7 linked regions of the Canis lupus familiaris genome follow. The protein of the gene in region 1 purifies or fractionates together with the protein of each later gene. This does not show direct contact. Links are inferred from orthologs where the notes say so. Each region holds a gene or a part of one and is shown on either strand. Other genes may lie near its edges.

Region 1 (3,918 bases):
TTTTAGGGCTAAATTTTAATGTGAAAGTTTGAAGTCTTACACTTTAAACAAAACCTAAAAATTACTGATTGGTTCAAATGGTTTTATGGAAAAACTAATCTGTAACAAAAACTTGGCATTGAGTGCGAAGGCTCCACCATTTTTGAGCAAAGCGTACAAAGGTTCTGAGGGGGATGGGGCAGGGGAACCCAACATTTACAACAGCAGGCATTTTCTCTTCCTCTTCTTGACGGGAGGGGGGCAGAGAACCGCTCGAATAGCTTCATCAAACACTGTCTTGAGGCCTCGCTGCGTGAGAGCAGAGCACTCCAGGTATTTTACAGCACCTGCCGAGAAACACAGCCTCATAGCCACATGTGGAGCCCACCCTTCTGTCCAGGAGGAGGGCAGGAAGCAGCTCCCCAGGCCCAGACTCCTGACAGCCCGCTGGGCACAGCAGAGCAACCCCTGACCTGCACCCGGAGCTCACCTACTGAGCGCTCACACTGAGAGCTTTGCCTGGCTGGCTCCCCAGAAGTCAACCATAGCCTGAGTCAGAAAAACATGCTCTTTACTTCCCACAGACTGGACTCCTGTCTCTGCCATGAAAATAAAAGCACGTGCAAAGCAGATGTGAAAATGCAGATTTCCTACCGATCTCCTTAGCCATGGCCAGACCCTGTGGGTAGGTGATGGGAGTCAGCTTCTTCTCCTTCAGTTTCTCAATCGTGTCTTTGTCGTCCCTGAGATCAAGTTTAGTCCCCACCAAGATGATAGGGGTGTTGGGACAGTGGTGTCGCACTTCAGGGTACCACTAAATGTAAGAGAGGAAGAGAGTCACCACACCCTCCCTGATGAACCTCTTTTGCCTAAATTACATCCCCACAGGTGTCAAACTGTCAGCCACTCCTTAGTTGCTGCAGAGTCCTCAACAAGACACAGCATCCCACCCTTCAGCCCTGCTCACCTTGCAATACCTTCCAGAACCACGGGCCTACCTGTGGGCATTCGAATAGCAAGCTGGGACTCCCAAGAACAGGCAAGGAGGGAACATCCCCCTCCCCCAAACCACTACCTCTTGGTAAAATGAGTTAAATTCTTAGATGGTCTCTTGAGAAACCTCCCTATTCAGCAAAAAAGTCAACTATCGACTGAGGTCTCAGCTCTGCCACCATGAGCCCCACTGAACACATCCCTGACCACAACTGGAGGACATCCTGCACATGTCATTTTTCACAAGTGACCAGGGCAGCAGTGGAAAGTCATGGTCACTATTTTTATTAGACAACCCCATCAGGCAGACTCCAAAGTGCTCACTACTTTAGCAAGGAACAAAGCGTTTCTGAATCAGGCCCTGAAACTTCAGAACTCTACATAATAAAGTCATATACTTCAAAACTGATTTGCTACCTAAGTAGAATTACAACATCAATTTAAATAATTAAAACTCCTATCACCAAGTGTTATTTTTGCTTCCCAAGGAGACATTACATAACAAGATGTTCCTCTAAAACATTCCCCACTTACCTTTGCTCGAACATTTTCAAATGATGCAGGACTCACAAGAGAAAAGCAAATTAAGAATACATCCTATAAAAAGGAAACAGGGAGGCGTTTAGAAATGGTCTTACAATGATGAATGCACTTTGCTTTGTAAATGCTGTTGGGAATGAATCATGAGACGAACTGCGTATATGTACCAGCAGCTTGTGTCTAAAGCTTGCTTCCTGGTTCCCCCCTTCAGTTCTGTCAGAAGGCTCCCAAACCAGAGCCAGCACATGAAGCAGCCAGTTACTTCTGAAAGGGGGGAGAGGATTTACTAGAATGTGCTCAAATTTACTGGAGGCCAGGGGGGACCTCAAATCAGAACCCCCAGAGGCTTCTTCTCCATCATTTCCAACTCCCCCTGGGAATTTATCCCCTCCACCCCGGAATTTAATGTTCCTATTATATATAGGGACAAAATCAAGCTACCACTCCAATATTTCTGTAAAATGTGATCTCCATTTATCAAAAGCAGAGTTGATTTTAAAAACCTTTATCAACAGTGTGCTTTTCAGTAAACTCCTCATGTGCACATTAAGTACATGTATAGTGGACCACTGGGGTGCAATTAAACTGCTGCTTTAAGAACTGCCACCAGAGTCCCTTGGCCCGGAGTGGGGCTCAGTGGTTTGCTCAGTGAGCACAACCACTGTGCAGAAGGGCAATCTTGTGTGTAAGTGGCCTCTCCTGGCTATCAGCTTCTCAATCCCAAGTGGGGTTCTCTGCAGGACTTAGAGCGTGCGGCAGTGGCAAAGTGGAGATTCAGAGGAAAAGTCAGTGCAGACTAAATACCTGGAAGATTTTCTGACTGAATGTAAAACATATCTCCCATTCTGTATTGTGTAAGAAGCCAAACTAAAATATTTACCTGTACTTAAAAATGCTTAAGAGTTTCTAAAATGCTAGGTTTATAAGACATTTTCCTGGAAAAAGGCAGCTATGCTTTGTGAAATGTACCCAATTCCCAAGCTAACACTTTCACCAATCCAGCTGATGTCTTGTACCTGGAAAGGGAGAGAAACATCCCACACAACAGCTTTTTTAAAATGACATTTTCCAAACGCTAGCGCATGCACAGGCTCGTCCAAGAATCACCTCGGCATTTTGGCACCTGATTACGTCACTTCAAAGCAAAGGTGGGTTAGCTCACCAGCACCGCACAGCCATGCCGCAGACAGGCCCGCACACCGGATACCACAGCGGAGGAGGCCCTGGCAGCCACGGTTAGTCCCCCTTGGGCTCAAGCATGGGCTCCATGGTGGGCTTGGGGCAGGGGGCTCCACACCTTCATCTCCAACCCGCCTGAAGAGGCCCCTTCATAAAAGTTCCTCCTTCCCCTTGGGAGGAGGGGAGCAAGCAGTTCACAAACCACTTTAATTCAAGCTAGTAGGTAAACTGTCTCGCTCTACTGAAAGCACATTTTATCAAACAAAACCCCAACCTTGAGTGAATTAAATTTAAAACACTCAAGGAACATGAGGCTCAACAGGAAATTCTGGGAAAACTAAGTGAAATGAGAGAACAGATAAAGCTTGAAACTGAAGTGGATTGAAAGTTTTACATACGGCAATCAGCTTGTCTTTGCCCCTGGAGGGTATATCCTTACCATACGTTTCTCCAACCTAGTAATGCATGAGAACTTTGTCTGAGTTTAGTAAAAACTGAGGAAAATGCAAGTCAATATAATCCATTATTTCTTCATCAGAATTGTCTCAACCCTCCTAAAGGATCTGAAAGCAACTGACAAATACCACCAAACAGTTCATCAAACCCTGTGAAGGTCAACGAGGGTGAAGACAAGATGTCAGGCAGATATGGGGAAGGAGGGGGGCACTCCTTTCTAGCCATGGCAGCGCACAGAGGGTGTGCTTCCAGCAGAAGCCACAACACGCCTGAGAAAGCACACGGGTCACGTCCAGGTGAGAAAGGTTAAGGAAGCACCCTTCCTTACCGAAGGGGTATCCCTGTGCCACTGCTGGCTCCCACTGGCAATAGGCACACCTGTCACAGCTCTCCATCCCAGGTCTGAGACCTAAGCCCAGCTGAAGCCGCCGCACGCAGGAAGAGCACCTGTCTGTAAACACAGGCCTCTCAGACGAAGCACTCCCCAGGAGCACGGCCCAGTCAGAGAGCTGTGAACACGGCCAGCCTCCTGTGTGCAAGTGCTGGTCCTCTCTTCCCCCAAATCCTGGGAATGCAGTTTGGATTTAGGGGCCTGAATTACTGGAGTAAATGCACTGAGACCTTTAATTCCCCCCCCCCCCAGCTTTGGAGGGGAACGCCCAGAAGGGACAGCATTTCTCATGTTTACCACAGTGCCATCAATTCATTCCTTTGTTCCGACAAAAATCGGAAAGACTTGCTCTTCAAGCAACACAGAAACCTACAATTTTT
Region 2 (4,183 bases), on another chromosome or scaffold:
TTGGATATTATGAAATGGAACTCTAGGTCTGAAGTCCTAGGAGAATGCTATTGTGTTTTTTTGTTTTTTTGTTTTTTTTTTTTATTTTAGCAGGCAAACCACCTGGTTCAATGTAGGTTGTGGTTCTGACACCTCCTTCTCTGGGGTGTGATTCAATGTCAGTTCTGTTCTCAGAGCCTCTAGAGTGCCATTTGGGTCTGTCCTGTGTGTGCCACCTGTGGCCATCTGGGAGCTGGCTGTGATCTCAGGGATTGGAGTGTGAGAGGATCAGATTCATGCACTTACAGCTTAGGGGTGGGGGCCCAGAGTTCATTAGCAACTTTATAATCTCATTCTTCTGAGATTCTTCCTCTCCATACTGTCCCTGGGGCTTTCCGGTGCTCTGGGGTTCCCTTTTTGGTTTTCCAGCCAGTAGCTGGGGGTTTAGTAACTCTCCTCACCACGCACTTCTACACTGACACCTTGTCTGGCGCCCAGTATTGGGAGGAGCAACTGAGGGCTTCTTCCATTTAGTGTTCTCACCAGCCTGCCTGCTGCTCTTTCCTTTTCACAATGCATGTAGCTGCTCCGCGTGTCCAGAGTCAGGGCTGCTTGGTGTATTGTGTCTGAGGATGGAGCTGCTACTCCCTGTATCCCATCCAGGGTCGGAGCAGCATTCTGAAGGAGGCAGGCTTGGAATGTGCTGTTTCCTCTCCCCTGGAGCTGCCACAGATGTGTTTAGATGACATCCACCCCCTTTTTGTGCTTTCTTGCACTGGCCTTGGAGTTTGTGCTGTCAGTCCTGTGCTAACAGTCCCCTCCCTCTTTCATGTTGACCCTTGGCCCCCACCTTAGTAGTCCCTACAGGCAGTTGCTGGAGGAAGAAGGGCTCTGACCTTCTCCATCTCTATTCCTTAGTGTGTTGCTTTGCATAGAAGAACCACTTGGGAAATGTCCATCTGCAGGGAAGCACTCTTGCCCCCTTGGAGGTTGGAGGCTGTGCTGGCTTCCTTGGGGCAGACAGGTGTTGAAGTGGTTGGGGCAGTGGTGTTGAAGAGGACATTCCCTCCTCTGGCCCAGTGAGCAGGTTGTCAGACCCTCCCAGAGAGCCCAGTAGGGATGATGGCTCCAAGGTGGGAAGGGTGACAGGAAGCAAAGGTATGTGTGGTGGTTCATGTGCCACTGTGACACAACTGGAGGCCAGGAGAGGCTACATCATGACTTCTTTGCCAGCAAGTCCTAAGAGAGACAACAGACCCAAGGGATTGGTCATGACCACGTCAGCCATCCCCATTGCTCAAGAGAGGGATCAGGCAAGTGGGGGTCTGATTTCCCTACCTTGGAATGATTGTCAGTATCTCCACCCTTCCTCACAGTGCAGGTTTGTGCTGTGTTTTGTTCTAGGCCAAGATGGCGGCCCAGGTGACACTGGAGGATGCACTATCCAATGTGGACCTCTTGGAAGAGCTGCCTTTGCCTGACCAGCAGCCCTGCATCGAGCCCCCACCATCCTCACTCCTCTACCAGGTTTGTGCTGGACAGCAGTAGGTTGTACTGCCTGCAGTGCTGACCTCCACATGATGGTTTTTCTCTTCCTTTCAGCCAAATTTCAACACTAACTTTGAAGACAGAAATGCATTTGTTACTGGTATTGCAAGATATATTGAACAAGCGACTGTTCATTCTAGCATGGTAATTCCTTCTGCATGTTTTTGTTTTCCTTGGGGGAATACTACTAGTGATGGCAAATATACACTTTTTGGTGTTATCTTAGTATGATATATACTAAGGAAAAAGAGAAGAAAGTGGATGAAGATGCCTTATGTTTTTAGAGAAGACTTTGTTTTCTTTATTATAAAAACGATACATGTTCTTTCTGAAAATTGAAGCAAGAAATTGAGCAAGGAAGCTTCTGTCAGCATTTTGAGGGAGTCCATTCTCTCTTATCATTTATACCTGTACTCATGCATGCAGTTATATACGCAACTGTGATTCAGATTGCATGAATGAATTGTGTTGCTATTACGTATTTTAATGATTTCATGAACTTTTCATATGACATATGTCAAAATGTGCCAGCTAAAGTAATATTTAATAGCTATCTATTCCATTTTGTAATTTCCACAATTTCATTATTTTTGCATGTTTAGTTTCCCTTTTTTCTTTGTCATAAAAAATATAATAATGAATATCTTTCCAAACACATCATTATTCCCATTGGCTAGATTTGTATAAGTGAAGTTACTAGATCAAAAGTTGTAAACATTTTAAAGCCTCTTAAGAACATAATGAAATTGTAGTTGACATTTTTAGAACATCTCTGCGCTTTTTACCATTTTTACCAAAGGAAACAATGTGAAAAGAGTAAACACTACAGCAGTTAAAAAATTATGGCAGTCCTCTTTGCATGGATACTGTTCTCTGGATTTTAAGTGCTACAGAAATACTTGTAGCTTTTCCTCCTACACACTAGGGATGATGGAGCTGCCTCAGTCTTAGGAGCCCAGAGGCTCTCTGTAGCCTGGTGGTAAGGCCTTGACCCTGTGCACATCTGCACTATGCTGGCATCTGTGCTCAACTTCAGATCTGCACTGCCAGCTGGTTGTTTTGGATAGAGCGGAGTTGAGGAATAGCGGCTGTGGCAGGTGCCAAGGTTTGTGTTGGCTCCTCTCCAGCCCACAGAAGCCATGGGGGTGTTTCCGGAGGTCATTATGGCCACAGTGCTACACTGCAGCATCACCAACTTCTTAGCAGCTGCCTCGTGGCATACAGGTCCTGGTACTTGTCTGTACCTCAGAGTGAGAGTCAGGATTGCCTCTGGATTTTAGCAACAAGGCATCTCCGTTTTTATGATTGTTTTCCTGCTTGCTGATTTGCCCTGTGTACCCTTACAGAATGAAATGCTGGAAGAAGGCCAAGAGTACGCGGTCATGCTGTACACCTGGAGGAGCTGCTCTCGGGCCATCCCACAGGTGTCCCCACCCCAGCCAGGCGCACCCATTCTTGCTGACCATGCCCCTACCATAGTCAGACAGTGCTCTTACCCTTCTCCCCCCACATCTCAGCCTAACCACACCCCTACTCCACCAGCCTACCCTCCCTCCCACATCCCACGCCACAGCAGGCTGGGACTGCAATGACCTAACAATGACCTTCCCTCTCACTTCTAGCTAAGTTGAAGCCTCTTTATGTCATACTTGTTTATTCCTAGGTGAAATGTAATGAGCAACCTAATAGAGTGGAAATTTATGAGAAAACCGTCGAGGTCCTGGAGCCTGAGGTCACAAAACTGATGAATTTTATGTACTTCCAGGTAAAACAGTGAAATAATCCTAGGACTTTAATGCAGATGAGTAGGAATCTGGCCCACTTTGACATATCACCATGACTTCTGAACAAAGTGCATGTGAACGAAAGCAGCCATAACAACTTCTGAGACAAAAGAGAACAAATCCTTTGTCAGTCTACAGCTTTACTGGCCCTTTCAGAATAAATACCTCTTCTGTGTTTCACTACTCTTGTCTCTGAGAGTGAATTTGTATTTCCTTCATGAAGACTGCTTTCTGTCAGTTCCAAATATGTTTGTCTTTCTGCCAATTTATACTTGTGACGCATCTAGTTTTTCAGGTGTTTTCTTCTTCTCACTCCCTCCTGTCACTTGGGGGTTCTTGCCCTGCCTTGGCTACTCTGACCCATTGTTTACATGGAGTTGCCACAGGAGGTGGACTTGCTGGCTTTTTAAAGATCTACTTTGAACATGTAGGGTTCTTACTATAGATCCCTTTAGCAAAGGTGAGAAGATAGAACTTATTAGGAGATGAGTGTTTGCTTTATCTTCAAGGTTGTCAAGAGGAAACATTTCTCTGCACACCCCTTCCTTTTCATCTCTGAATGCCAAAACATCTGTTTGTAGACCTTCTGTTGGAGGTTTTTCTCAGTAACTTTGCTTGAATAATCAACAAAATTCTTTTATTTTAGGGATGTAGTTGGTAAAGTGGAAAGTTAATGATGATTGTTACACAACAAAAGTATGTGGAAATTACTTTTGTAACAAATAACATTTGTTTTATAACAACAAATCTCTTTACCTGAGCTGTAAATGTCCACTCATTTGGGTGGGTATTTCGTCAAGGAGTGACAGTGAGTCCAGCCACTGTGCTTGAAGCTGGGCATGGAGTTGGCCCTTCACTGACAGCAGCCTTTT
Region 3 (3,918 bases), on another chromosome or scaffold:
AAAAACATGCATATGTACACTTTACTTTAAAATAAAGACCTTTCAGTATTATAAGCAATCCTGTACCTTATCTACTAAAGTATTTTTAAATCACAAAAATGTTCCCTATGGATATAGTGTGCACATTTACTGTAAGCCATTGATTAACCACAGACGGGGCAGATGCTCAGATCTGTGTGGTTGTTGTTAATTTTTAGGTGAAGGATGGCAAAGCTAAGCTTTTGGGCTTAAAAACAGAATGATGGCCATTTCTAGAAATCTTCACTCTTCAGCTTCCAAAGATGGCTGCATGTGGTTGGCTGATGGCAGACTGCAGGTAGAGTCCCTTTCCTGTGGATGGTGTCATTTCTGTTGTGCAGCAAGTAGTCAACAGCCCTGTACCGTGTAGCTATGGGAACTTGAGACGCCCCCCCACCCCAGTATGAGAAAGAAAAAGAGCTTAGCAAGCTGGGGGATTCGAGCTTCAAGTGTGCTTTCTAAATAACATTTGCAAAACCCACATTTATAGGCATGCGTCAAATGTATCTGGAAGACTACCTTGACCAGACCATTGGCCCTCTGCCTCTCTTTCCAGTGATCTTTCCCACCTGCCCAGTTGCACCTGTCTTGGGGAGAGAGAGGGGTGGGTTGCACTGTGCTGACTTTCAGTTGTGCTGAATTTGCATGAGTTCTGCTCTTCTGTGACCCTTCTAAACCTGGTTTACCGCAGTTCTAATTGTTGAGACACTTACAAAGGTGATCGTTGGATTTAATAAGCCACTTTAGTAAACTAGTTCCAAATCCTGAGCTTCACTAGCAACCAGCACACAACCACTAGAAGTGTCCATTCTTTCTGGATATACAAACTGGACCAAGAGCACATTTCTGCAAATAATGCTTCAAGGCTGAGGAATATTACAGCTTCTCACTGCATACCTGGTAGAGCAATAAAGTGAATTAAAGCAGTCTACTAGGGCATGATAGCTCCTCAATGCAGATTGTTTTGAAGGATGAGAAGTCACAAGTTGAATATGCAGGGTAGATAAAGTAATTGCTCACAGTCTATATTTTCAAAAAGGAAGCGAAGCACACACATACTAGTTTACACATCGCTTCATATGGTTGGCTAAAAGCACTGGGGAAATATAAAACTTACATACGAGGCAGAAGGTTGGGGGCGAAATCTATCATGCACTGGGGAGAGATGATCAACTCTGCTGCTGAAGGGGAAGATTGTCTAGTGCAATTTGCTAATGGATCTGGTATTGGCATGGATGACCGGAGCTTCTGCCCCATAGAGTTAAAATGTAAACGCACACAAAAGGAATAAGGGTGCTACTGTTTTCTTGGCCTTATAGACAACACAGGACAGTAATTTTTTAAAAAAGTGTGCATTGAGGGGTGGCACATGATAGTCCAGGGAAGGTGGCTGGGTCACCGGGCAAATGTGCTAGTCTTCCATTCACCCTACCCTAGTCATAGCTCAAGGAGCTTTGTCTTCCTTAAATTGGGTACAGAGGGGCTTCCAGATACAAGAAAGCATGAGAGAAAAAGTCAAGTTCACATTTACTAAGCCATGGCCAGCCACTTTGATATGGCATCCAGCCCCAAAAGAGTGATGGGGCGGGGCGGGGAGGGGAAATGGCTGGTTGAAGAGGCACTATGAATTGAAGGCCATCTGAAGACCATGTAAGTCATTTGCCTATACTAGTTTTCCTTTTCTTATTGAATGGAAAAGACTCTGGAGAGACTTCCACCACCACTTTCACTTTTACCCCTGTCAGAAAGAAAACAACCAACCAATAACCAAACAACAACAAATACTCAAGCAAACAGAAAGCAAACAGAGAGACAGAGAAAGAAAGCAAGAGCGAGAGCGGGGGGAATGGGAGGGGGGGAGAGAGGACTGACTCAGATACAAAATAAAAGCCAAGGAAGTGAGCAAACAAATCATTCAGCTGGACATTTTGAGATGCCCCGAAGGCACGTCTACCCAGCTGCACAGTGATAGTTATGGAAGAATGGAGGTCTTGCTACTAGATTCAGCCCGAATACACTCATCAGTTTGCTTCAACAGCCTCCGGACCAGCTTTTCTAGGTCCCTTCTTGATTTCAGTTCTTCTTCCAGGCATTGCTTCATTCTTTTATTTTCCTACGATGAGAAAAGACTCATTAATTCCCAAACTACGTGGCCCCTTCCCAGGGCTCCTCCTGTTCCTCCTCTTGGCAGCTTTCACCACTGACCACTTTCCTTCCTCAGACTCCTCTCCTTCAGCTTTTAGGACAAGGCAGCCCCCTGCTTCTCCTACCTTTCTCTGGCCAAGCCTTTGCAGTCTTCTTGCTTGCAGTCTAAGCGTCCTGTACAGCACTGGCCCGGGCCCTCTTCCAACTCAGCTCTCTTTTCACCTAATGTCTCTTCTTCAGCTCAACTCAGGGGCCTCCCTAATCCCTCTGACACCTGACCTCATCTCATCTCACGAGCACTAGGTCCACAGTCCCTAGTGTCAAGTTGATATTTACAAGCACTTCAGACTCATATCCTAGAGTGAACTCAGTCTCTCCTCTGTCACCCCAAACTTCTTTTCCTCCTGTGGTTCCTGAGTTCGTGAAGGGCACTGCCCTATCCAAGTAGGTATCCATGTAAGAAGCCTCATCTTCAATCTCTGGCTCTCCCTCTCAGTCCCAACATCACAGCATCAATTTTCCATAGGCTCTAACTCTACGATGTGCCTTCCTTTACATTTGTTTTCCTTCTCTGCAGCCTCAATGGCACTACCTCAGTTCAGAAATCCACTGTGTCTCACCCTGAGTTTTGTGACAGATAATCTCTGTTCTCCCCCCTCCAGTCCATCCTTTACCCCGTCACCAGGTGCAGCCAGTCCCCAAACACCAGGAAGTGTGCATCATGGAGCACTGGATCACATCTTCAGAGGAGCCCGCAAATCAAGATTTATGGTTCTCTTTATACTTACACACTCGTGGATGACTTATCTTTTCTAAAATTCTGTTTACAAATGTCAGAGAACATGAAAGTTGTAACTAAGTATTGGGAACCTATTGTAAACCGCTAAATAGGTATATGAGCAAGCCTAAGAAATTTAAACCCAACACTACATGGCAAAATCAACAGAACTCACCCTGTAGAAATAAGAAAAATCCCCACCTCACCACCTTGTTCCTATTATATGACCCAAGAAAATCAGTTATATATTTCATTACCTGTTTCAGTTCTTTGACCTCATCCTTCAAGGCATACACAGTATCAACAAGACTCCTAGAACATAAAGTTCAGAGATTCATAGCTGGTACTGAAACACTGTCACATAAAACTTAACCATAAAAGCCACTTTCAAGAAATACAGATCCTGAAAAACAGTGGCCTTTTTTTGGGGGGGGAGCTGGTTGGGAGAGATACTGCTACGAATGGCCCCTGTGGTCTCTATTTTTATGGGCAAACCACCACCAGCCCACATGCTCATTTGAATGCCATGTCATTACACCTTTACTATAGTGCCCTCCTCCTTGGCCACTTACTTCCCAGCTTGGGGGATTTACAAAAAAAGAGACTAGAGCTCATCGCAAGGTTTTGACTTTCTTAAGAGCAGGAATGAACATCACATAACATATAATGAGGGGTGTCATGAGGCCCTGCTTATCCTGTGCTATGGCATTGCTGCTCTCACCTCTGTGACCCTACGTGACCCTATATGACACAAAGTCAGGGGCATTCTTTCTGGAAGGTCTCATCTGTTCCAAAAGAGGATAAAATGCCCTGCCTGACTCGTGGAACAGTTAATTCCCAGATGGCTCTCTCCCTGGACAAGAATTCTAGAGATCTGGGTTCCAGGTCTGACCCTACCACTTACTATCCTCCAGCCTTGGGTAATCAGGTTCTTTCTCCTCTCCTTGCCTTACTTTCTTCGCATACAAAATGGGGAT
Region 4 (4,528 bases), on another chromosome or scaffold:
TCCATATATTCTAACTAGATAATCAATTCCAAGGGTCCCATCCTCTATTACCCGTTCTCCTCCTCCTTTTGTGCCTCCGCCTTTATGGACAGACCACCAAAATGTTTCCTGTAACCTGTGCCCCTTCAGATAGATTGTCAGATTTTCTATTTCAAGTCCTGATTTTACTTTTTTTAAATTTTTAAAATCATTTTTCTAATTTTACTTTTTTAATTATTACTTTTTATTTTTTTAAAAAAAGATTTTACTTATTTATTAATGAGAGACACAGAGAGAGAGAAAAGCAGAGGCACAGGCAGAGGGAGAAGCAGGCTCCATGCAGGGAGCCTGATGCAGGGCTTGATCCTGGGTCTCCAGGGTCAGGCCCTGGGCTGAAGGCGGCGCTAAACCGCTGAGCCACCCGGGCCGCCCCTCTAGTTCTCCTTCTGATTGCATATGGAGCCACAGGCCAAAAGACAGTGAACTTCTTGACTTCTCCATAGCCCAGATGTAAAACTACTGCTTATTGTTCCATTCACCTTAGGCGTACGCTTTATAAAAAGATAGCAGCCGCACATTCAGGAATAGAGAAAACATTTGCAAATAACTGCTAACGATTTGTTAAACTTCAGATCGGTTCCTAGAAGAACCGGGTCTCCTCTAACGCACGGGCAAGTGCATTAGAAAAAAAAAAAAAATAGAAAAAAAAATTAGAAAAAGTGCAAAGAAAAAGTCCTCTATGACAAACTTGAAGCTCCCACTAAATATTCCTACAACTGTAAATATTTTTACGTCTTTTGGAAATGTGGCACAACGTGTGGGCATAAGTTTCCAGAAAGTTCCAGAAAGATGGGCGAAGCCTGCCATTCTCGTTTGCTTCAGAGGGTTGGGGGGCAGGGCAGGGGGGGCTTTCAGAAGCGGCGGGGAAACTGGAGTTCCGCGTGTCTGTGTGTCCTGTCCGGGGCCGCCAGGTGTGAGCCGGCGCGTCGCCACCTGCACCGCGCGCGCACGTGTGCTTGCTCGCCGTCGGGGGCGCATCGTGCCCAAAAGTCCTGCGCCCTTTTTCGTCCCTTTCCTCCCGGTGACAGTGGGGGAGAGCTGGGCGGGCGGGGATGGGGGCGGGGAGGCGGCTTCTCCGCGGGCAGATGCGCGGGGAGGAGCGCGGGGAGGAGCGCGACGCCCCGCGCCAACCCCGCGCCCCCGCAGGACGCCGCCGCGAGCCCCCCGGGGACGTGCGCCCCAGGTCTAGGCCACCCCCGCGGGGCGCTCCCCGCGCGCTCCCCGCCCCGCGCCGCCGAACCCCGGGGATGTGCCCGGACCCGGCGCGCAGGTCCCGGCCGGGCGCTCGCGGCAAGCCCCGGGCCCGCGGCCAGCAGGCTCCCTCCCAGCCGCCGCCCCCCGCCTGCGCCTCCCCGCCCCCCCCCCCCCCCCCCCTGCACAATACAAGATCTTCCTTCCTCGGTTCCCTTGAATAACAGCCCAGGGAAACCTCGGAGCCTTCACCCAGCCACCGGCCAGCATGTCTGGGGGCAAATACGTAGACTCCGAGGTAGGCTCGCGGGGTGCGCGCGGGGAGCCCCCGGGGCGCCCCCACCCCCACCCCACCCCCACCCCACCCCCCGCGGTCGGCCGCCGGGCGCTCCCCCGGCGCGGGCACCTCCGAGGAATGGGCCTGGGCGGGGAGCTGAAGAGGGGGCAGGAATGTCGTCCAGGCTGCTCTTCGGAAAGGGGGGCCGGCGGGCCCTAAACCAGAGGGAGGCTGAAAGTGGGGGCGGGGGGCGCCCCGGGGTCCCGAGATGGGGACCAGAGCACGCTCCTGGGTCGTGGGCGGGCCCGGGGCGCTGCTTTAGGTCGGGACCCGCACGGCCCAGCCCCTGCGCGCTGGGGGGCTGCGATCGGGGACGCGGGGTGCGCCGCCATCCCCCCGCGATCCGGGGGACCGTCCCCGCCGCTCCGCCAGGCGCCTGGACCGGCTGGCACCGCCCGAAGCCCTCGGGCCGCCTCAAGAACCCTTCCAGCATCGCGGCGCCCGGCGGGGTGTTTGCAGAGGGGGGACCTGCCCTCCCCTCCCCTCCCCTCCTGTCCCTGCCCGCCCTCCCCTCCCAGTGCCACCCCTCGTCCGCGCGGGGATCTCGCTCCCCAAACTCGCCCTCCGCCCCGCGCCCCGCCGGCGGCCTAGGAGGGACCTGCGGGAGGTCGGGGAGGTCGGGGGCGCCGGGCAGGTGCGAGGTCGCGGTTCGGGGCGGTCTGCAGGGGGGCGGGGGGCGCTGCTCCCGACACGGGCGCTTTCGGGACGCTGAGCCCCGCGGGGGCGGGGGGCGCGGAGAGTGCGGCGAGCCAGCAGGTGTCGGGGAGGTGCGGCAGAAAGGGGCAGAAAGGGGGCCCCTCCGGGGGGTCCCGGGGGCTCCAGCGGGCCCGAGGGAGACGCCGGAGAGCTTCTGGAGAGCAGGGTGGGGGAGGGGCGCCCCGCAGCCGGGGACGGGTCCCCGCGGTCGCTGGGGGGCGCGCGGGGCGGGCGCGGGCGGGGGCGGCGCGGGTGCGCGCTGACCCCTGGCGGCGGGCGGCGGAGGCCGGGGCTCCCCGCGGGCACCGAGGGGTGTGGTGTCCTCGCCTCCATCCTCTTAAGCGCCGGCGGCGCCCGAGCGGCCAGTTGGCGGGCGACCTCCAGGGCCGCCGCACCGCTCGTTTTCCTTTTTGACATTTCCTTTTTGACATTTCCTTTTTCTGGCATTGCCTTTTTTGACATTTTCTTCCCATCTCCGCCCCCCCCTCCCGCACCCCGCCGTCCCCCCCCCACCCCGCGCAGGGGCACCTCTACACCGTTCCCATCCGGGAGCAGGGCAACATCTACAAGCCCAACAACAAGGCCATGGCGGAGGAGATGAGCGAGAAGCAGGTGTACGACGCGCACACCAAGGAAATCGACCTGGTCAACCGCGACCCCAAGCATCTCAACGACGACGTGGTCAAGGTAGGGGAGGCGGCCCCGCCCGCCCCGGGGCGCTCCGAGCATCCTCCGCTACCTGGGCCCGCGCGCGCTGCCTCCTGCGCTTGAGGACGCGGGGCCCCGCAGTCCCCCCACCTTGCCCTCCCCCATCACCCCGCCGGCTAGTTCGGCTGGAATCTCGCTGACTGCCCTCCTCCTAGAACCCCACTTCTCCCCGGCCAACACACCTCCAGATCTCCGCGACAGGTTGGCCCGCGCTCCTTGGGCGAGTGAGGCGCTTGGCCCTGCGGGGCACCCTCTTGCCTGTTCCCAGGCTTAAACTCTAGCGAAGGGGGGCGCCCTATTGCACCTAGAATTAAAGCAAGTAAGGTCACTGTGTAAGTTCTTTGTGGCTCGATGATCTATGGGATACCGAGTGGGCAGGTTGTCCCAGCTCAAATCAGGGTAACCTCAAGTTATTTTCTTAACTATAATAAGGTGGGTAAAAATGCTTCAGATTGATATATTATATATCACATATATGGAGAGAGAGCATCTTAACTGGAGGGGGAAAAAGTGGTACTCGTGCACGACCAAGCTAATTTCCACAACCAAAAATAATGAGCGCCTCTGGATTTCTCCCATAGACACCCCTAGCTAGGTATATAAAGTCACTTCTTTAGTGACTGCCTGGGTCAGGCTTCCCCGAGTTAATGAGACACTCAGGCTGGAGTTCCTTTTTATATTTTCAGAATGTGTTTGGTGATTTTTTTAAAAAAAAATAATAAGGCATCTGAATGAGCTATTGGCCAAACTTAGATTTGAGTCAGTGATCAATTTTTGATTATCATTATATTATTCAACTTTGACCCTCTTAGCAAATTAAGTCAGGGAAATTTATTGTCCGAATCCATCTGGATTGGGAAATCATGGGCTTGAGCCATTCTTGGCAGAGGGTTTTCTTTGAGGAGTGGGGAGGGCCAAGGAAAATCCTGGCCTGGAAGATTATAGCGTGAAGACCCAGTTCTGCACAACTCCAGAACAGCCAATGGGGCAGATGAGCAATTTCCACCTACCCAGTCTCCTATCTGGGGCTGGGAAGAGCCATAGTTCAGAGACTATGCACATTTATGAATAATTTATTTCAAAAAGGGAAACAATTTAACCTGTAACGGGAAGGAAAATGTAACTGTCAGAATTGACTCTCTTGGCTTGCTGGTAGAGGAAAAAGGAAAATTGGAGCATTAGTAGGTTTTTCTACTAGCCAGATTATGAAATATTTAAAAGCAGCAGCAATAAAAAAAAAAAGTAGCTTATAAACTTGAAATTAGAATTGCTAAAAACGATTTACTAAAAGCGTCACCTTAAAGAGAGGGAAAGACATTTTTGCTTTTTCTCCTTCTCATGTAGCTTTGGACAAGAAGAAGAGATGCCAGGAAAAGAGGCAGATTTCAGAAAGGGCTGGCTTCATTGGAGCCTCCCTGTTGTTCCACCGCAGTGTGAGTGGGGTTCCTGGAGCAAGCAAGCCTCCCAGGATGAGTCAGAGAGGCCAGCAGTGTGGATGTGGGTCTCCACACATAGCATGACTAAGCTGAGAAAGAAAGGCCCCACTGGGAAAAGAGA
Region 5 (3,805 bases), on another chromosome or scaffold:
GGAACCCCTGGTCTCAACACTGACCTCTCCTTGTACTTCAGAGTTCAAGGAGGCCTTTGAGCTGTTTGATCGAGTAGGGGACGGCAAGATCCTGTATGGTCAGTGTGGGGATGTGATGAGGGCTCTGGGCCAGAACCCCACCAACGCCGAGGTGCTCAGGATCCTGGGGAACCCCAAGAGTGATGGTGAGGGGGATGCCTGGAGCAATGCGGTTTTTCAGTGTGGTGGTGGAACCGAGGAATGGTGGCAAGGTGACAAAGGATGCTGGGGTGGCTCTTGGGACTTCAAACACTGTCAGACACCTTTAAAAAAACATCCTGAACGTTGAATGGGATGAAAAGCTTCGTGGTAGGGATGGAGCTGGGCCCAAGGTGACACTACAGTGACCCCTCCCTCCCGTTTCCAACCTCCAGAGCTGAAGTCCCGGCGTGTGGACTTCGAGACTTTCCTGCCCATGCTCCAAGCAGTCTCCAAGAACCGGGACCAAGGGACATACGAGGACTACCTGGAGGGGCTTCGAGTGTTTGACAAAGAGGGGAACGGCAAAGTCATGGGCGCGGAGCTCAGACACGTGCTCACCACCCTGGGTGAGGCAGGGACGGAACTCGGGGCGGGCGGGGAGCAGGGGCCAGACCAGTAGGCACGGAGGCAGGGCCGGGAAGCATTACCGCCCTACAGGCCATGGGCAGGGGCTAAGGAGGTCGGAGCCCTGGGGCAGAACCCGAAGGTAAGGGGAGGGGGTGCAGTTGCCTCCCACAGGACAGAGGAGAGGGGTGAGGTGGAAAGCCTGACTTTTTGCTGTGGGAGAGAGGCCTGCGCTCTGTGACCTGGGGCCCCCGTCCCCTTTCCCTCCGTGGAGGCGTTGACCAGGCGCGCGGGCAGGTGCAGTGGGAGGGAGAGGCAGGGCACACTGAGGGGCCCTTACCAGGATTCCTTTGGGCTTCGGCTCGGCGCCAAGCTTGGGGGGGGGGGGGGCACCGCCCGGAAGAGGAAGGGCGGGGGGGTGGGCAGGGACTGATCTGTTCTGTCGGGCTCAGGAGAGAGGATGACTGAGGAGGAGGTGGAGACCGTCCTGGCCGGACATGAGGACAGCAACGGCTGCATCAACTATGAAGGTGAGGGGCCGCGGGAGCGGCGGGAGCGGCGGGAGCGGCGGGGCCGGGGCTCGCGGTCCGGGTGGGGGGGACGGACCCGGATTATCTGAACCCGGAGCCGGGCCTGCTTCTGAACCCTCCCGCCTCGTCTCCGCAGCCTTCCTGAAGCACATCCTCAGCGTCTGAGCTCCTACAGGTAGGGCCGTCCCGCTGCGCTCGAGGCAGCTTCCGTCCCTCCCCTCGGCGGGGCCACGGAGCCGGGAAGGCGAGCCCACGGCGCCGCGCGAGCGACCGCCCTCGGCAGCTTGCCTCGTTTCCACAGGCGCGGTGGGGCTGGACTCGGCGCCCCTCCCCGGCGATGGAAGCACGTTCCTGCCACTAGGAGGTCCCCTGTTGTTTCAAAATAAAGAGACGGCTCCTCCCTAGGCGTCCGACTGCTGCTTTCTTGGTGGGGGGGGAGACGGGGGGCGGCCTCTCCTCTCCGGGATCGCCGACCCTCCGATTCCTCGCGCCTGGCTCCACCCGCCGCCGCAGCTCGGCCCCCCGCAGGGAGCGCGGCGCCAGAGGGAGGAGCGGAGGCCCCGCCCACCTCATTACTAACGTAGCGCCCTCATCTGCATAAGGCCGGGCCGCCGTTTCTATTGGCTGGGCCGGCGCTGTGACGTCACGGGGACGCACGAGGACTAGGGCAGGGCCGGGCGCCGGAGCCATTGCTGCAGGAGAGGGTCCCGCAGAGGCGCGCCGTCGCGATGGTGGGGCCCGGGCCCGGGACGCGGAGCGTGGCTCGGGGCGAGGCGGGAGGCCGGGGCGGGGCTTTGCGGAGCGAACCCGAGGGCCTGGCAGGTCGGGGGCGGGGTTGGAGAGTTCGGGGGTCTTGTCCTGGCGGGAAGCGAGTCCCCAGCACGGAGCAGGACTTAGTGGTTCAGTTGGCGGGACGGGGATGGACGCTTGGGGGCTGCAGTTGAGATGCTGACGGCCCCCCTCTTCCCTGAGCAGTGTGATTTCACCGAGGACCAGACCGCCGGTACGTAAGCCCCGACCCGCTGAGGTCGCGTCTCGGGAGAGGGGCCCCCGCCTCCAGCACTACCCCCACCAGGCCGGCCCTCTCTTCCCCCCGGGACCTACTTCCTGCCGTCTCCTCTCCCTCCTCGGCATCCTCCATTTTCTCTTCTCACTCTTTCTTCCTCCCTCCCCTTCCACTCTAGATCCGAGCCCCAAGCCCCGGGTGAGTGTTAGGCGGTGTGGGCATGAGACAACTTGGTCACCTAACGCCTGCGGTGTGTGCGGGGCGGGGAGGGTGTATTAAGTTGCCTGCGCTCCTCCGTCCCTTAATCAGCTTCTGCCTCTTTCCTCCTCCTGTGATAACACCACCCCCAGCTCCCCCCCCCCCCCCCCCCCCGCCCAGTCCGGGATTGTGAAGAGTGTAGAAAGCAGTGACCTGGAATTCTGTGAAAATGGGGACGGGAATTTGCTGAGGATATTTCATAGCAGTGCCCTCTAGAAGTCTGTACCGGAGAGGTGGGAAGTGGCAGGCAGGGATGACCCCGGTCCCCGGCTGCTGCTCCCTCTTCCTTATAAGGACAGGACCCAGACTGGGCGGTGGCGAATTCCTGCCCTGAGTGTAGTGAGGAGGCTGGGCGGGCTTGCTGTCGGCAGAGGGGCGTGTAAGTGGCTGTTACCCTTCAGCCCTGGGGAGGGGGAGGCCGTGTCGTTATGTGGAACGCCTGAGCAGGGACGCAGGGACGCTAGATCCCTCTCAGCGGGCCTGGGCGTACAGTGGTACAAACACCTGGTCTCCTCAGCATGATCAAGAGTTGACTGGGCAGAGGGGGTTTGGGAGGCAGGGTTTGGGTCAACCCCCGCATGCTCAGTGCTGATCTTGTCTGAATCTTCAGAGTTCAAGGAGGCCTTTCAGCTGTTCGATCGAACAGGGGATGGCAAGATCCTGTACAGCCAGTGTGGGGACGTGATGAGGGCCCTGGGCCAGAACCCCACCAACGCCGAGGTGCTCAAGGTCCTGGGGAACCCCAAGAGCGATGGTGAGGGTCCTCAGGAACTATTCCTCAGTGTGGTAATGGGCCTACAGTTCTTTAGCTAAGAGCTTCCCTTTATCTTCATGGGCCCAGACCTCAAGCACATTTGTCTCAACTAGCAAATCCCACAGATTACTCCTGCTTTCAGTGGGAGCCCCCTGCCCCCGTGGGAGCCCTGTAGTCTCCTCAGTCCTGAGGACCCGGGTGACTTTCCTTCCCCCTCCTTTATGGCAGAGATGAATGTGAAGGTGCTGGACTTTGAACACTTCCTGCCCATGCTGCAGACTGTGGCCAAGAACAAGGACCAGGGCACCTATGAGGACTACGTCGAAGGCCTTCGGGTGTTTGACAAGGAAGGGAATGGCACCGTCATGGGTGCTGAAATCCGGCACGTTCTTGTCACGCTGGGTAAGGCTCTGCCCTTGCTCCTTTGAGCTGAGGTGCCACCTGACACACACTTGCCACCCAGATCCCAGAATGCTTTTCTTTCCTTCTGCAGGTGAGAAGATGACGGAGGAAGAAGTAGAGATGCTGGTGGCGGGGCATGAGGACAGCAATGGTTGTATCAACTATGAAGGTGAGGGACTTGGGGCTCTCGTGGAGGAAGCGGTTGTACAGGCAGCTCTTGCCCAAGTGTTTGGGGCTCCGGAGGCAAAGGGCAGGGCCTGGCCCAGCCCG
Region 6 (4,623 bases), on another chromosome or scaffold:
TATGTGCGAGAGCTTTACAGTCCAGTACTTTATACATGGAATCATAGAGATGGAATGAACTTTAGATTATGCTCCAATCCAGCATCTTCCAAAGCGTAGAAAACTCTCCCTGAACATGCTCCTCCTCCAGGTGAACACCGACGGGCAGGGTGCTCTAACTTAAAACGTGGCTGTTTCACTTTGGAATTGCTCTTTTAATTAGAGGCATCTGCTCTTTAGGGAAGAAAACCCCCACACATCCCATCCCGATCAGGGGAGAATCTAATGGCTCTCGAAAAGAAAGAAAAGAAAAAAAAGAGAGGAGTGGTTGAGAATCGCCTCTCCGGCCTGTCTGGGTGGGATGTCCCTGGGGCCAAGCCAACCGCCTCGTGCCTACCCTCTATTGAAGCGCTCTTGCAGGGGCCGCAGGTCTGCGGGTCAGCTTCCCCCGCAGCTGGTTAGACATGCTACTTCCCGAGCACCCCCGAGGAACTGGAACCTCTGAGGGTGGGGCCCTCGGGGCTGAGCTTCAAGGGCCGCACCCCCCCCCCTCCCGCCGTGAGACGGGAGCCCCCCGGCCCGTCTTTGCGTGCTTCAGGAGGGTCACGATGCACTTTCTCTCCAGTTAGAGTCTCACACGCTGCCGCAATTACTTTGTTTTGCCAGCACGTGGTCACCGACGCCTCTGACAGTCCCCAAACAGGTGAGGCATGGGTTTAAAACAGTCCCCCAGGGGCAGCCCCGGCCTGCAGCCCTGGGCGTGATCCTGGAGTCTCAGGATCGAGTCCCACGTCCGGCTCCCTGCATGGATCCTGCTTCTCCCTCTGCCTGTGTCTCTGCCTCTCTCTCTGCATCTCTATGAATAAATAAATAAAATATTAAAAAAATAAAAAAATAAAACGGTCCCCCAGACCTCCTGCGGTGCTCGCCCTGGGGGAGCCCTGGAGAGCCCGCGCCGGCCACCGCGACCGCGTTAGGAAAGCCCTTCCAAGGGGGCCTCGGGCCGTTTAGTGCCCTCCGGCCTCGGCCGGGACTGGCTGTGCTGGGAGCCCGCCTGGGAGAGGGTCCCCGGGGGCGGCGGGGGGCGCTGCTCCTCTTGCTCTCCCGACACTCGCGCACTCCCCGTTTGTCATGAACGGGGAGCCCTGTATTTTGTAGACAAAGAGTCGCAGAAGCAACTTTCGAAGTTAAAGCAAAAGAAGAAAGGAAAGAAAGGAGGAAAGGAAGGAAGGAAGAAGGCACGGCGCCACCTCCCCGGGGCGCAGAGAAGCGCGCCCGCGTCTCCCGCGCTTTCCCGCTCTGCCCCACGTGGGCTCACTCCACCCTCGGAACTCTCCAGAAGCCCGCGGCCGGCCGCAGCGCCCCCGCCCCGCAGCGCCCCCCCAGCCCCCCGCCCCGCAGCGCCCCCCGCAGCGCCCCCGCCCCTCGCTCCGCCCGCCCCCCGCTCCGCCCGGCCGGGAAGGGGCGGGCCCTCGGCTCCCGCGCGGCGCCCGGCTCGCGGTAGGGGTCGCTGCTGCGCGGCGCGCTCCCGGGGGATAACGGGGCCCGGCGGCAGGAGAGCGGAGACCTGCCCGGGACGCGGAGCTCGCTCGTCGGCGTCGGCGCAGGCGGCTGCGGGAGCGGACCCGGGAGCGGACCCGGGAGCGCCGGAGCCCATGTCGCTGCGGCCGGGGCAGGGCGGCGACCGGCCGGACACGAGCGCGCCCGCGGGCCCGGAGCCCGCCAGCCTGGCCGGCGAGGGGAGCCGCGGGGGGCGCGCCCCGGAGCCGCCGGCCCTGCAGAGACCCCGTTATGGCTGTAAGTACCCGCGGCCTCGGGGAGCGCTCCCGGGGCGCCCCTCCCCGGGGGCCGCGCTGGGGGACCGGGGGCCGGGCGCGGGCGGCGGGCGGGCAGCGGCTGCGCGCTGGCGAAGTTCGCAGCCGAAGTTGCAGGAGGCGGCGACCGCGTCCTCCCGCCCCGCGAGTCCTGATGCGCAGCGGGGGCCCCGGCCTCCCCGGGGAGCCCGGGGGCCGCGGACCGCGGGCCAGGTGGGGCTTAGGGCCCTCAGGTGAGGAGCCCTCGGAGCCCCGGGCCGCTACCGCCTGGGGCCGGGGGGTGGCGTGAGCGGCCCGAGCCTTCCCGCTCCCAGGGAAAGTTGGTCTGCGCTGCTACAGGTGGGCAGGGCCAGCGCCCCGCGGCCCCGCGGCCCCGCGCCCGCGTCCCGGAGGGCGGGAGGCCCCCACCCCGCGCTCCCTCGCGCCCCCGAGGGCAGGCCCCCGCCCCGTGCCTCCCCAGGGCAGGCGGCCCTCACCCCGCACCCCCCCAGGGCAGGAGGCCCCCACCCCGCGCCCCCGTGCCCCCCGGGCCCCCCCCACGTCCCGGAGGGCAGGCGGCCCCCACCCCGTGCCCCCCGAGGGCAGGCGGCCCCCCGCACCGCGCCCCCCCAGGGCAGGCGGCCCCCGCACCGCGCCCCCCCCCGAGGGCAGGAGGCCCCCACTCCGCGCCCCCCCAGGGCAGGCGGCCTCCACCCCGCGCCGCCCCGAGGGCAGGAGGCCCCACTCCGCGCCCCCCCAGGGCAGGCGGCCCCCGCACCGCGCCCCCCCCGAGGGCAGGAGGCCCCCCACTCCGCGCTCCCCCAGGGCAGGCGGCCCCCGCACCGCGCCCCCCCCCGAGGGCAGGAGGCCCCCGCACCGCGCCCCCCCAGGGCAGGCGGCCTCCACCCCGCGCCGCCCCGAGGGCAGGCGGCCCCCACTCCGCACCCCCCCCAGGGCAGGAGGCCCCTACCCCGTCCCCGCCTCGGGCAGGCGGCCCCCTCTCCGCCCCCCCCCCCCCCCCCAGGGCAGGCGTCCCTCCCGCCCCCTCCTCCCCAGGGCAGGAGGCCCCCGCCCCGCCTGCACCTGAGCGGGAGGCGGGCCCCGCCGCGGTGCCTCCTCCCCGGGCGCTGCTGTCCCTCTGCCGCCCTGCGACCCTGCGGCGGCCGCCCTGGCGAGGCCCCGGAGCCCGCGGAGCCCGCGTGACCCGCGTCGGGGTGTCCGCCGTGAGCAGCCCGGGGGCCGCTCGGAAAGGGGGGGGCAGATTAGCCGCAACCACGTGTCTGCGTGCTCAGAGTCCATAGTCTTCGCTAAACTTGTGCCAGGAAGTGTTTCCTTTAAAACAAACAACGGCGGCGCTGGGTCTGCGCGGGCGGCGGTCCGGGGCTGCTGGCTGTTCTGCCCGCGGGCTCGTGCGGCGACGGCGGGGGCACCTGCGAGGCCTGGGCCGCGAGGCCGGCGGGCCGAGCCCGGGACGGGGAGCGGGTTCTGCAGTGCGGCCCTGGGTGCCAGGCAGCGGGGAAGAAGCCCGAGGAGCCAGATGCAGCCTCCGCGCGGTGCGGGGCGGGGATGGCGGTGGCGGCCCCCAGCGGGCCCGGGGCCCAGGGCTTGGCAGCCTTCACTGCACTTGGGGGAACCTCGCAGGCCGCGGTCACTGCTGTGGACCTCAGGTCGGGGACAGTCTCCTCCATGTGACGAGCTCCCGAACAGTGGCAGCTGGCTTCATTGTGCCGAGTTATACGATGACCGCAGAGTCTGGAAAGGAGGCAAATACACACCAGAAAACCCCCCAGTTTTTTTTTTTTTTTTTTTTTAATGATAGTCACAGAGAGAGAGAGAGAGAGGCAGAGACATAGGCAGAGGGAGAAGCAGGCCCCATGCACCGGGAGCCCGACGTGGGACTTCGATCCTGGGTCTCCAGGATCGCGCCCTGGGCCGCTGCGCCACCCAGGGATCCCACCCCCCAGCTTTTGATACATTTTAAAGCCGATGTATTTGGTGGATCATTTCTCACTGATTCAATGTGCTGTGCAGAAGTTGCAGTGAATGGGGACGGCTGGGCGGCCCAGGGCCTGATTCCGGTTGGGGGATCCAGTCCCATGTGTCCATTCCCCCCCCCCCCCCCCAGAGCCTCTCTCTGTGTCTCTCACGAATAGGTAAATAAATCTTAAAAAAAAAAAAGTTGTAGTGAATGAGGAGGAGTAATGCAGCATCTTTACATGCAGACACAGATGGATTTGTGATGTTTGTTTGATTTTCTGTCAAATGTACCTGTGGATTTAGCACACCCCAGAAGCAGCAGCCAAGGAGGTTCTATCCAACCTACAACCACGAAGAACACTCCACATTGCCACTTTTTCTGGAAATGATTGTCCAACTTTTCTCACAACTTTGGTGTAATGGAGTGGTGTGCCTGCTTGTTGGAATCACTCCCATTTGCGTCTTGCCAGCTCACAAAGTGCTGACATTCTTTGGTCATTGAGTAGAAGAAAAGTGTTTGATAGTTTCCAGATTTTATGGTCACCCTAAAATATTAAGGCTTTAATAAAGGAGACTGTTAAGTCCTTAAAATGAACTTTTTTGTAATTTTGCTACCAGGTTCATAGTTTTTTGAAGAATCTAGTCGAATACACTTTAGTATTTAGTGTTACTCAGTGTCCGGTAATACACGTTATTCATGCAAATGGAGACTGTATGATGTATTACAATACATAATTTCTTTTTTCTAAGGTTTTATTTATTCAAGACAGACGGCGGCGGGTGGGGGGGGGAGGCAGAGACACAGGCAGAGGGAGAAGCAGGCTCCATGCAGGGAGCCCCATGTGGGACTCGATCCCAGGACCCCAGGATCACA
Region 7 (4,425 bases), on another chromosome or scaffold:
GGTCAAGTATGGGCTTTGGGAGACGATGTGTCAAGGTGAATTCATCAGTTGTAACAAATGCGCCACTCCTGCAGATGCTGACAGTGGAGGCTGTGTATGTGTGGGCACAGGGGTTACATGGGAAATCTCAGTCTTCCTCCTGATGTTGAACCCAAAACTGCTCTAACAAAACAAAGTCTTAGAGAGAGAGAGAGAGAGAAGAATGGACTCTTGTCCTTTTGTATTGGTGAGGGGGTAGGTGCCTGGGGTGGGCAGGGTGGGAAAGGGGGACCAGAAGGGGGCAGCCATCTGCTCACCGCTTGGCCTCCTCCAACCGGCACAGGTACTGATAGGCCACATTCTGCCGCCTCTGCTCATCCATTTCCTCAGCTGTGAGGCGTTCATCTGAGGAGTGAGGGTCAAGGTGAAAAGTGTTAGACAAAGGGCCAGAGTGCTGAAGTGCTTCTCAACAGACTTTCTTGGGCAGCTCTGCCCAGAGACCACTCATACGTCTGTCCCCCTCTTCCTAACACCCCTTGCTCCAATCTTGGGCCCCCATCTCGTAAAGCTGCCCTGGTCAGGACCCCTTCACGGGGAGCTCCTTTCTTTTTCCCTCCAGCCATCTCCTGACCCCTCCTTTCTGTCCGTCCAGACCCTTCTGTGGCTGGGAACGTAGTCTCTGTGTTCTCCAAGACCTGGCCCGTGTCATCCTCCTCAGGCACCCTCCCAGAAGCTGGGGCTAACAGGACCAACTGGGACTCATCATCCAATCTCCATGCATTCGTACCCTACCTTCTATCTGTCAGGCCCTGGGCCAGTGGATCCTTACAGATTAGCATTAGAAAAGAAAAACGTGTAAGTGACAAATTCCAACCTGAAGTGACAAGTGTGATTACAGCCACAGACATGCAAGCAGCAGAGGAGACAAAGGGTTCTTCCCACCAGTAAAATCTTAAAGAATGAAGCAGGAGGGGGCAGCTCAACAAAGAGAACCATGTGGAGGGCAGCCCCAGTGGCCCAGCGGTTTAGTGGTTTAGCGCCACATTCAGCCCAGGGCGTGATCCTGGAGACCAGGGATGAGTCCCATGTCAGGCTCCCTGCATGGAGCCTGCTTCTCCCTCTGCCTGTTGCCAGGGAGAGGCAAAGAACGTCTGTCTTTGAGGCAACACGTAATGTTAATCCCACTCTTTCCCTTATTTCCCTATATTGCACATCCTGCAACATGATTTGGACCAGGGGCGGGGCTTGTTGGAATTGGCAGTTAAGCAAGTTCACACACACGCAACGTCTCTGCCTCTCTCTCTGTGTCTCTCATGAATGAATACATAAAATCTTAAAAAAAAAAAAAAAAAAAAAAAAGAGAACCATGTGGAAAAGGAGGGCACTCCAAAAAAAAAAAAAAAAGAAAAGAAAAGGAGGGCACTCACTTCGGATGAAGTAGGACAGAGAGTCTTACAAGATCACAAGGATATCTTTACTTTTTTTGGTATAAGTCACCTGAGGAGGAAAACAATCTTCACACTAAATAAAATGCAGACAATAGGCTGACCCCAAACGTGAGAGCGGGGAATCCCCTAGGTGAGTCAACATACTATTCCGCCTTAGCCTCCACCTCCCTTCAACCTCCCCTTCTCCCATCTCCCACCTCTGGAGTGGCCTTCTGGAAGACAATACAAAATCAGATTGGGGGGGGGGGGGACGCCTGGGTGGCTCAGCCTTTGGCCGGGGGTGTGATCCCAGGATCTGGGATGGAGTCCCACGTTGGGCTCCCTGCATGGAGCCTGCTTCTCCCTCTGCCTGTGTCTCTGCCTCTCTCTCTTGCTGTGTCTCTCATGAATAAATAAATTAAAAAATCTTTTAAAAAAATCAGATGGGGGGAGAGAAAGCTGAACATGTACACACATGAGGAATAAACAGAGGGCTCGGAAAGAGACACGTCTGTCTTTGAGGCAACACGTAATGTTAATCCCACTCTTTCCCTTATTTCCCTATATTGCACATCCTGCAACATGATTTGGACCAGGGGCGGGGCTTGTTGGAATTGGCAGTTAAGCAAGTTCACACACACACACACACACACACACGCAACGTCTACAACCGTTGGTTGCTAAGCATGGAAAATAAACAGTAAGCAAATGACATCACCTCGGAGTTATGAACTGAGGGCTGTGTGAGACGGGCAGGGCTTCCTCCCTACACACACACTTTTTGTTTTTTTTTTTTTAAGATTTTGTTTATTTACTCATGAGAGACACACAGAGAGAGGCAGAGACACAGGTAGAGGGAGAAGCAGGCTCCCCGCGGGAAACCCGATACGGGACTCTCTATCCCAGACCCCATCATCACACCCTGACCTGAAGGCAGACGCTCAACCGTTGAGCCACCCAGGCGTCCCCCACACAGTCTTATTTAAATTTTTTTTTAATTTTTAAAAAAAATCTTCCTGCGCTTCACAGGTCTAGAACTAACTTTCCTTCAACAGATCCGAGAACAAGGACTTTGTTTTTTTGAGCCCTAATGGCAAGAAAGGGGAAGGGGTGGAAGAAGATTTTGCCTTTGTTCAGAAGGTCAGGCAGCAGCAGCCTTTCTGCCGTCCAATCCTCCTGACCCCACTGTCTTTCCAAAACAGTGTTTTTGCAAGTGTGGTCCGCGGACTACCTGCACGGTTACGTGCGGTGAGGCAGCAGCACAGCAGGGCTTGTTACCAATGCAGACGACGGGCCCCGACCCAGCGAGCTGGCGCTGCGACACAGGGCTGAGGAGCGTGCCGGTCACTTCCGGTCATCCCCGGCACACTTCGAGGGCCACCGTCTCCCCCGCGGCATCGGACGGGAGTCCCGGCCCCTGGTGGCTCCCTCCCCGCGCCGCGCAGGCCCGCCCCCTTCCTTGGACCCCCTCCGTGGCCCCCTCTGCACTCACACAGCGCCGAGCCCGCGCCCGCTCTCCGCGGCTCCATGTTCCTCCTCCTTCCAGGTTTGAATCTCCCGCCGCCGGGCCGCCGCCCTCGTCGTTGCAGCAGCCCGACAGAACTTCCGGCCCGAACCGCGGGGGCAGCTGGGATGTGTAGTCCAGACGGTGCAGGCGCAGGCACGCCGCCAGGTGCGGAGAAGGAGGTGCTGCGGCACAGTGGGAGCGGCATCTCCCTCTCCGCGCGGCGGTGGGCTGCTGTTCCTCTACGGATCCTCCTCTACCCTCTCCTCCATCATTTGCCCTAGTGTTCTCAGGAACTCCGCTGCGCCTCCTGTAGCGTTCTTGGCTCCCGCTAACTTGCGGGCCAGCTTGCGTGAACTAGATGGTGCGGATGCAGAGAGAAATTACCATAGTTAGGAGCGCCTGGCTGGCTTAGTCGGTAAAGCGCGCAACTCTCGATCTAGGGGTTGTAGGTTCAAGCCCCGCGTTGGGTGTAGAGATTGCTTAAAAAATAAAATATCTTAAAAAATCAGCATAGTTGATGCCCTATATATAACTTGCTATTCTGGAATGAGTGACAGTCAAAATACATGAGAGGTCAGCGATATTCAGAGGAATGAGGTCGCTACAGCAATGAAGTTACTACGGTAATGAAGTTAAGGGCAGCGAAGGACAGGAGGACTTTCTAGTGGAGGTGATAGCTGATGTTTGTTGGAAAGGGAACAAGACTTCATCAGCCTGAAGGAGAGAGGAATCTTAGCGCAAACAGCACTTGTGACCAAGGAGGGAGCCCAGGAAACGAAAATTGGTGCAGTTCTGTAGGTGAACAGAGTTCGGACAGGGAGAGGCGGGAAGAGCACCTCTAGAGACACGCTGGCAGCAGCTGCAATGCCAGACAGCAGGCTGAAGAGCAGGATGCGGTCTGGGGAGCAGCCACAAGCTCAAGAACACTTTACATATAGGTGGAGTCCCGGTTCACATTTTACAAAGATTCATTTTGCAGCAGGGGCTTGGAGCCAGGTGACACTAGGGCCAGAGACCAATCCAGAGTGTATGGCAGCAGCACAGGTGAGAGCTAGTAAGGCCTGAACTAGTCAAAATAATTATAATGACACCTGTCCTAAAATTTTGTTTTGCTATATTACCTAATGGGCTTCCCCCACCTGGTATTTCTCCTTTAGCCCTCCCTCCCTCCTACCAGTGCCCCAGTCAAGCTGCAGCCTATGCTCATAGCCTCAGGGGAGGCACCAGAGGGGTAGAACACAGAAATCATCCAAACCTTCCGAGGAACAGAGGAGATGCAGGGCTGAGACAAAACTGTGGGAGTTGTGGGGTTTGTAGAGAGTGGCTCCCCTTTGCTCACCACGCAGGAAAGTAGAGGGAATCTAGACTGCTGGTGATAGAAGCCCACTCCCTGCTTTCTGGAAAGGCCATGGGCCTGAGACCTGACAAGGAACAGTTGCTAACAAGGCCCTGATGTACAGAAACCCCGACCCCAGCTAGAAAGGAAGTACATGGACGAGCTACCCCCATTTC

The links.
Region 2: the proteins of RAC1 (region 1) and CYFIP1 purify together in Homo sapiens (pull-down; 3 studies listed by BioGRID and IntAct, with this or other methods). This does not show direct contact. The link is inferred for Canis lupus familiaris from reciprocal best matches to the Homo sapiens genes RAC1 and CYFIP1.
Region 3: the proteins of RAC1 (region 1) and ARHGEF6 purify together in Homo sapiens (affinity purification with mass spectrometry; 3 studies listed by BioGRID, with this or other methods). This does not show direct contact. The link is inferred for Canis lupus familiaris from reciprocal best matches to the Homo sapiens genes RAC1 and ARHGEF6.
Region 4: the proteins of RAC1 (region 1) and CAV1 purify together in Homo sapiens (affinity purification with western blotting; 4 studies listed by BioGRID and IntAct, with this or other methods). This does not show direct contact. The link is inferred for Canis lupus familiaris from reciprocal best matches to the Homo sapiens genes RAC1 and CAV1.
Region 5: the proteins of RAC1 (region 1) and MYL6B purify together in Homo sapiens (affinity purification with mass spectrometry; 3 studies listed by BioGRID and IntAct, with this or other methods). This does not show direct contact. The link is inferred for Canis lupus familiaris from reciprocal best matches to the Homo sapiens genes RAC1 and MYL6B.
Region 6: the proteins of RAC1 (region 1) and IQGAP2 purify together in Homo sapiens (affinity purification with mass spectrometry; 5 studies listed by BioGRID and IntAct, with this or other methods). This does not show direct contact. The link is inferred for Canis lupus familiaris from reciprocal best matches to the Homo sapiens genes RAC1 and IQGAP2.
Region 7: the proteins of RAC1 (region 1) and IQGAP3 purify together in Homo sapiens (affinity purification with mass spectrometry; 3 studies listed by BioGRID and IntAct, with this or other methods). This does not show direct contact. The link is inferred for Canis lupus familiaris from reciprocal best matches to the Homo sapiens genes RAC1 and IQGAP3.

The regions. Positions count from the first base shown.
Region 1 is NC_049227.1:11,837,452-11,841,369, reverse strand, and holds the end of RAC1 (ras-related C3 botulinum toxin substrate 1 precursor), read right to left. Parts: intron 1,570-3,918; coding exon 1,507-1,569; intron 794-1,506; coding exon 634-793; intron 327-633; coding exon 196-326; 3' UTR 58-195; downstream 1-57. UniProt on the Homo sapiens protein: Plasma membrane-associated small GTPase which cycles between active GTP-bound and inactive GDP-bound states.
Region 2 is NC_049224.1:32,055,169-32,059,351, forward strand, and holds the start of CYFIP1 (cytoplasmic FMR1-interacting protein 1), read left to right. Parts: upstream 1-1,383; 5' UTR 1,384-1,389; coding exon 1,390-1,506; intron 1,507-1,581; coding exon 1,582-1,671; intron 1,672-2,873; coding exon 2,874-2,951; intron 2,952-3,190; coding exon 3,191-3,292; intron 3,293-4,183. UniProt on the Homo sapiens protein: Component of the CYFIP1-EIF4E-FMR1 complex which binds to the mRNA cap and mediates translational repression. In the CYFIP1-EIF4E-FMR1 complex this subunit is an adapter between EIF4E and FMR1.
Region 3 is NC_049260.1:107,985,798-107,989,715, forward strand, and holds part of ARHGEF6 (rho guanine nucleotide exchange factor 6), read right to left. Parts: intron 3,254-3,918; coding exon 3,199-3,253; intron 2,132-3,198; coding exon 1,991-2,131; 3' UTR 1-1,990. UniProt on the Homo sapiens protein: Acts as a RAC1 guanine nucleotide exchange factor (GEF).
Region 4 is NC_049235.1:55,589,030-55,593,557, forward strand, and holds the start of CAV1 (caveolin-1), read left to right. Parts: upstream 1-1,498; coding exon 1,499-1,528; intron 1,529-2,785; coding exon 2,786-2,950; intron 2,951-4,528. UniProt on the Homo sapiens protein: May act as a scaffolding protein within caveolar membranes. Forms a stable heterooligomeric complex with CAV2 that targets to lipid rafts and drives caveolae formation. Mediates the recruitment of CAVIN proteins (CAVIN1/2/3/4) to the caveolae.
Region 5 is NC_049231.1:828,464-832,268, forward strand, and holds the end of MYL6B (myosin light chain 6B), read left to right. Parts: intron 1-41; coding exon 42-185; intron 186-413; coding exon 414-587; intron 588-1,037; coding exon 1,038-1,115; intron 1,116-1,251; coding exon 1,252-1,280; 3' UTR 1,281-1,290; intron 1,291-1,416; exon of another isoform or gene 1,417-1,519; intron 1,520-1,712; exon of another isoform or gene 1,713-1,843; coding exon of another isoform or gene 1,844-1,846; intron 1,847-2,090; coding exon of another isoform or gene 2,091-2,118; intron 2,119-2,989; downstream 2,990-3,805. Other genes in the region: MYL6 (myosin light polypeptide 6), read left to right, coding at 1,844-1,846, 2,091-2,118, 2,990-3,133, 3,362-3,535, 3,627-3,704. UniProt on the Homo sapiens protein: Regulatory light chain of myosin. Does not bind calcium.
Region 6 is NC_049224.1:30,384,343-30,388,965, reverse strand, and holds the start of IQGAP2 (ras GTPase-activating-like protein IQGAP2), read left to right. Parts: upstream 1-1,712; 5' UTR 1,713-1,776; intron 1,777-4,623. UniProt on the Homo sapiens protein: Binds to activated CDC42 and RAC1 but does not seem to stimulate their GTPase activity. Associates with calmodulin.
Region 7 is NC_049228.1:41,365,315-41,369,739, reverse strand, and holds the start of IQGAP3 (ras GTPase-activating-like protein IQGAP3), read right to left. Parts: upstream 3,011-4,425; 5' UTR 2,936-3,010; coding exon 2,899-2,935; intron 2,796-2,898; exon of another isoform or gene 2,638-2,795; intron 804-2,637; exon of another isoform or gene 772-803; intron 385-771; coding exon 297-384; intron 1-296.